Drosophila melanogaster: one gene and its partner. The protein of the gene in region 1 interacts with the protein of each later gene in a pairwise test. Each region holds a gene or a part of one and is shown on either strand. Other genes may lie near its edges.

Region 1 (3,761 bases):
CCCGGACATGTAACCAAAACACTGATCAAGGAGAATACCCACATCGATTTGAGAGATCGTCTGTCGCACATGTACTCCATGCCCTCCAAATCGCTGTCCGCCTCGAAGATCTCGATTAATAGCGATTCTGCCTATATGCAGCACCATCGACGTGATAAGGAGCGCCATCGCGATCGCCAGCACCGGGAACGCCCCAGAGATCCTCTCCAGCAACAGCAGCAACTGCATCGCGAACATCTCATGAGCACGCACGCACGCAGTGTAGAGCACCTGAATCATTACAATGGGTAGGTTATTCGCGATTCTTCGAGATTCTTGTGTAGATGTTCTAGCAAAGACAGGCTTTTTCATAGATTTAAATTTTCCTGACTAATCTCCCCGATCTTCTTCGCCATTCCAGACTGGATCGTCGCCGAGACACGCCCCGACAAAGTGAGTCGAACACACTTCGAGCCCGCCTGCCCAGCGATATGAGGAGTGTAAAATCCCTGGATTTCGATAGCGAAAACGAATCGAAGCCTGCGACTGAGACGCGTACCACTAGACCCACTCCGCCCAAGAAACCCCTCCGGCTATCGCTGCAACGAGCCCAAAGTCTGCAGACCGTGGAGCTGCACCCCTGTGCGGATATCGAACGAAAGCGGCCCATGAAGAGGGTCCACCACAACAACAACAACAACAACAAAGGTGGAGAATCACCGACTGGAGAGGGCCAGACCATGCTCATCGAGAACTGCAGTCCCATGCACACGGCTTCCCTCGGCAGGCACAAGCTCATCTAGAAACCCGATCCCAATCCAACCAAAACTAATTGTTAATCGAAGTAGCTTAATCCTCGACCGATCCTAACCGGCGGTTAAACCCAAAAAACAGGCGGACATGTGCAAAATTACAGTAGGCAATATAATTTTAACCAGCTCCCAAGTGGAAAGTTTCTTATTATGTAGTAGCAGTAGTATGTACTTACATTCTATATCTTGTATAAGTAGGGCTTGGCTATCAACATTTAGTATTGAGAGAATCAATAATTAAGAGTTTTTGTATGTACGATGATTTTATTAGCACAATTTACAAATGTGAATACACGAATATTTTCACCTACTTAAATGCGTTATTTATTTAAAAAATTCGATCCCGGCCTGCTATAAATGTGATGTAACTACAATTTCATGGCATCGGTTGGCATATCAGAAGCTATTACCTGGCAACTCATTTTCAAAGAATTTGTAGCAGTAGTTCTTCAAATTGCTTCGCCGTATCTGGAAAGCATGCCAATATTTACGACCTCCATTGTAGGCACGAGCCTGGCACATATTTTATGACGCCACAGTGATAAGGTATTCAAATGAAAAGCACGTTAGCGTGTTTCAGCTGCGCTTTTAGTAAGTTCAAAGAATTACTTAATAGCTATAATTTGGATATAATTAAAAAAAAGGCCGTTAATAGGATAATAAATATATCATCAGAGCTGGACAAAAGAATCTGATCAATCTGCAGTTGATAAAAAAAACTCAACGAGGGAGATAGAGCGATAGAGCGGTGAAGTAAGCCCGAGATAAACCTGAGAGCGGAACTCTCGCCTACGCGATCGTGCTGACCGCCAAATGCAATATCCGCCGCTCCACCTGGTGGCGCTCTCAATTCTCAATTCTGCGGTCTTCTTGCTCTCGCCAAATCTGCCCCAATGTTCTCTCAGCGAGTCGATTTGCGATGGCAATGCCAGAGGCTCGAAACAGTTCCGTCGCAGGTTTCCAACGGTACAGAGGTGCAATCGCTTAATTCTCGCAAAAAACAATCAGTACCCAATTATAAAATAGTTGCTAACAAGGTGAGTTTGCAACGGACGCGAAAAAAAAGAAGATCAAGGGCTAGTAATCGAGAATATTGGGTGAAGGTTAAGCTGAAGTTGAAGTTACTTGAGTTAATTGTAATTGTTAATTGTTCATAATTTATTGGTTTGCTTACATTTTAGAACCTGATTTAGATATATTACCCACAATTGCGTGTTACCAAAAAGAAACCAGTTACCGCAAAAACGGAGTTTACTTCACTGATTTTTGATTCTCTCATTCACTGTCCGCTCACCCTTGAGTGGGTTAAGGTAACCAGTTATTAATCCAGAAAAATGAGTGGGCAAAAATGCAGCACAGACCAGACACAAAATATTGTACATATCCATTACAATCCACACATTCCACGGCTTAAAACTTCAATAAACATTTAAATTCCCAATCGTGAACAGTTGGTTGAACAAGTGTTTACGATATTCTATCTTTTCATATATGTAAAATTATGGCTTGTTCTTATCTCAAAACTGCATAGCTTCGGCGTTTAAATTAGACGCGAAGTCTCTGTGTGTGAAATCAAGTAATCTTGGCTGTATTGTTTGCAAATTCACGAAGAGAGCCCTGCGATCAAATTGTTCAGATAAGCATCTTCATTAGCATATCGTTTCACGGTAAAACTCAAACTGAGTTATTATTTTCAAATCAATCATATTTAATCAGCAAGCAAGAGCCCTAATAAACCTTATTTGATGGACAAGCAGTGGCTATTAGTTGCAATTTGTGACCCATTTCGTGACAGTTTGAACCAGAATAAGTAAATACCTGGCAAAAAACAGATTAAAATACTTATACGTAATGACAATGGCATTTTTAGTTCCGAAATTCAGTCGCTCTACGAGCGTGAGAATCGTAAATTATGGGACCGATTCCAAGTGCAGATAAGGATACGTGTGTAGAGCAGGTACTGACCGCGTTTGAAGATCGTTTCAGAACTCGAGCGTGCAAGATCGCCAGCATATCGCAGACACATTGATAAGACCGTAAGGAAACCGGACCCATAAACAAATATTGCCCCGATAAAGTGTGACACCCATCCATTTCATTTGTGGAACTTTGGAAGCGAAGTGCGTACGAAAAAGAGATTGTTGATTGACCTTCCCGCAGCCGCACTTAACCCTGTGAAAAAGGCTGTTTGCATTTAGTTTCGTTTGGGTATCGCTCATTATTCACACACATAAATAATAATACCCGTTCGCACATCATATATGACCCACAAATCGTTTCATAAATTGAGGCTAGGCGCTTCAATTCCGCACACAACTGTCCGTTTAAATGGAATCAAGAGAATGTACACCTGATGACGTCCAAGCCAGAGATGAGCTGGAATTCAAGTGCCAGAGATGAGTTGGCATCACGGAATTTGAGATTACAAGACATAAACCCTCCTAGCATTTCCCAAAACTGAAAGTATTTGGTTCCAAATCATTTAAAGCTTTACTATAAAGCATTATATAAATAGTTTTGGAAGATGTTTTTAATATTGAGTCCATATCAATTATCGAAATTTCAGGATTATCATTTAGTTCATTTTTAGCTATGTCCAGTAGATCATCCCTGGTGGGATTTTCTCTGCTTGTGCCACTCAATTTAAAATTATTTATTTATAGACATTTAAACATTTCTAACATTTGCTATCCGAGTCGTACACGTGTCTAATTTAACTATGATTTCCTTGCAGTTCAAAATGATGCAATATCTTGTTGTTAGCCTGGCACTCTGTGCCACAATTTGCTCTGCTGCGCAGACGGTAAGATATATAATCTCGTTAATTTGAAAATCCACTTATAATTAGGACACTGAACTTACTTTGCAGCGCAATATGCCCATTCAAGCCATTGCCTATCTGATTGGACCCGTGCAATCGGATAATACCCAGGTCAAGGGCAACGTGACCTTTACGCAGAACGACTGTGG
Region 2 (3,275 bases), about 12 Mb from region 1:
CTTAATTTATTTGGCCGGCAATTGATAGGCCGCAAACATTTAGATATCTCATATTCCTTTGCATTTCTGACAGCACATAAAGCAAAAATGCAAACCTACAAAACTGCCAACTGCCGACTGCTGACTCACTCGAATCCGAATCGATATTCTGGTGGTGTTTTGCATGAACCAACCTCAGTTCGTTTTTTACATCACTCTTTTCATGCTCGGCTGGGATTTGAAGGGCCTCGTCAAAGTTGTTGTTACTTGGGCTGTTTTAGTCGCTTTTGTTGTTGCTGGTGTAGCGTGTCAACTTTAATTGCAGTGGAAAACGGAGACGAAGTCGTTTATGGGGCACTTTTTTATGCCAGCACTTTGGCAAGGCTAGGGGGTCGATGTCTCCGCCAACACGAACTTGCTCCAAAATCGGAACCCAAAATATCATGGTCTATATTTAAGTGTTTCCAAAAAAAAAAAGTCAAGGGAACGTGAAAATAAAATGTGGGTTCTCGTGCTAAATTTGAATATTTCATTGTAATAGGTTACGAAAACGGAAAGTTACTACTATTATTATTAATATTTTTTATTCTTTGAATTTCAGCAGTTTTGAATACAGCCAAGAGACAATTTTAGCCCAAACGTTCCTTTTACAAATCACCCTATTCCTTTTGAATTTGCTCAATGAAATGATCCTGGAATCTTGGGATCTTCTCCACGTAACCGCTGAACTGCGTCTCCGGCTCTCGGCTGCTGAGGAAGACGAGTTTCTGGGCACAGAGCTTGTAGAGCCAAGGGATGTCCAAGTAGTTGCAGCCCTCCATGATTTTGCAAATGCTATCGATTTCCACGCGCAGGAACTCCTTGTCCCAATCGGAGATCTGCAGCTCAATCTCCTCGGCCGGAAGAGGATCTTTGCTGTCCACCCAGGCGGGCTCTTCGTGTTTCTCATGGTACTCAGCCCACAGCAAGATCTTCAGCAGGACATTGCTGTGTATACCGTGCAGCGGCAGGACGAAGTCCTCATCCTCTGGGACCTGGCCAACGCGGCACATCTCCCGGATCACCAAGGATTTCTCGAGCAGAGCCAGATTTACGCTTATCGTACGGCCATCCCTTGTCTCGAATCGCACCATTCTTGAACCGAATTTCGAATAACAAATTAAGAGCTTCGGATCAGAAAGTCAGGGCCTACTGCTTGCAATCAATACGAACTAAACCACAAACTTGTGCCTACTCTACCTCTGGAAATTGTTCAAATTGGAGTTCAATATCGAAATAAACCACCATCTGCTGTAATCACAAAGTTTCCAAGCGACCAACCAAAGCCATAACCTCCGCAACAAAGGCAGTGACAATGAAAGAGAAAAGTGTAAAGAAGGCGGCTAGCAAATGGCCAACGACAGCAGAATAATAAAATAAAAGTTAGTAAACAAACGGAGGGAGGGACAGTCTGAAATTCACTTGAAATAATTACAAGAACTTTTTACGTCCGACCTTGGCCATAATTTTGCTGGCCAAGCTTTTTCTCGAAAACGAAAAGCAAAAAAAAAACTCGAGACAAAAGCTGTGCTGTGTGTCAATGAGATACGTACCCATACAGGCGCACTCAGAAACCTGGCCCACAATGCAAACACACAATGCCAATGTTTTATTTCTAACGACGACTCTCTTCGGCACTGCGCTCTGCTCTGTTTTGTAATTTAATTAATATACAAAAAATGTTTTGTATTTCTCGAAATGCTAATTACGCACAATGCGAATGACAATGAAACCGCCGACTGGCGGCCATTTGTTGTTCGTTTTTTTTTTTTTTTGCCCCTTTTTATCCGTTAACAGCTGGCTTTATGGCATTATAAGAGCCCAAAGGTTATTTATATCGCACCGATTGATTGATGAGTTCTTGCACTTGGCATTGATCATATCTGCGGGTACTTACATCTGGCAGGCCCTGGCATATTGTGCTGCTGACCAGGAGGAGCGCTGTGAAAAGGACCAGTGGTGAGGACATCTTACTGCTTCGGCCGCCTAGGGTGCTAATATAATCCTTAAAAATGCTTAAACTGCAAAGAGACGAAGGGGAAACGAAAATTAAATAAATTAAATATTAATTATTATTAGCCACATCCCATTTGCCAATATATTCACGCAATGGGCCAGCATGCAAAGTATTTATTTCCCAAATAATGGTCTTACCACCTCACATGACCATTAGTTCCCTGCCCACAAACCCGTCCTGGTCATGCTCGAATGGACAGCACTGTGTTTGCAACGCGAGTACAGTTAGCATCTGTTGTTGCAACTCAAACGCCGCTTGCTGCTTCAATTAATATTTACTTTTAGTTTTGTAGAAAGAAACCTAGTTTTCTGGCCCGCTGGCCGAGTAATTAATTATTGCATAAGGCCAAGAAGCAGCCTCGAGGCATAAAACAATCTTGTGCTGCCCTGTTGATTGCTGTTTGTGCTGCCGTTGCAGTTGCAGTTGCACATCCGCCCGCCATCGAATGCGGCTAATTGTCAATAATGATGCAGCGATGCGTGGCGAGGGGGTAACAGCATCCATCCAACCTTTTGACAAACCAACCAAGAAAACAAACAGAACTGACCAGCGGCAACAAAGGCAGCAACAGCAGCAGCAGCAGCAACAGCCGCTTCACGTTGCCGTGTCGCAACTTCTCAGCGACATTTACGACAAATTGCATGACATTTTATATCCCAAAGGTTTTGCACAATTTGCATGCAACGTGCTGCAAGATCCGAACTGCCGTGGCCCACTTCGAGTGAAAGAAAGTCTCGCCGGCGAATCGATCATCATCAATCGTAATGAAATGTTCGGCTGAGCAATTGCCAAATGTGGGTGGTACCCAGCCCAAGGCCAATGCCCCAAGACACTTGCTCATGGATTGGCGAAAATTGTAGGTAAGCGCAAGGAAAGTTCACTTTTTCCTATTTCAGCCGGCGGGCAGGCAAAAATGAGAAAATGGAATCGATATTTTGAGTAAACATGGAAAGCGCTTCAAAACAAAAGACTTAGAACACGAACTTGAGCTTAGAAGCATGACAAGGAAGCTTGCAAGCCACGTTCAAAGATGTGTAGCTACAAATAAGTGTAAAATCTTCCAAATAATATGAAAACCATTTTGGCCAAAGGTCAACCGACTTTTGCCACCATGTAATGGCCGTCAGAAGTCCATAAGAAAAGCATCAATGCTAACAGAAAGTGCCAGTTGGCAACCTTCGCGGCGAGACTTTCACCCAAAAGCAAAAGTGAATCAAGAGCATTGAAAAGTTTTAACTGA

The links. The genes of interacting proteins can lie anywhere in the genome.
Region 2: the proteins of Sod3 (region 1) and CG15800 interact in a two-hybrid assay, tested with the Drosophila melanogaster proteins (one large-scale study listed by BioGRID).

What each region holds. Positions count from the first base shown.
Region 1 is NT_033778.4:11,382,082-11,385,842, reverse strand, and holds the start of Sod3 (superoxide dismutase 3), read left to right. Parts: upstream 1-1,728; 5' UTR 1,729-1,828; intron 1,829-2,767; exon of another isoform or gene 2,768-2,911; intron 2,912-3,525; 5' UTR 3,526-3,531; coding exon 3,532-3,594; intron 3,595-3,660; coding exon 3,661-3,761. Other genes in the region: sprt (sprite), read left to right, coding at 1-287, 401-782. UniProt on the Drosophila melanogaster protein: Protects the extracellular space from the toxic effects of reactive oxygen intermediates by converting superoxide radicals into hydrogen peroxide and oxygen.
Region 2 is NT_033778.4:23,790,081-23,793,355, forward strand, and holds CG15800 (uncharacterized protein), read right to left. Parts: upstream 1,148-3,275; 5' UTR 1,113-1,147; coding exon 639-1,112; 3' UTR 534-638; downstream 1-533. Other genes in the region: sona (sol narae), read right to left, coding at 1,916-1,987.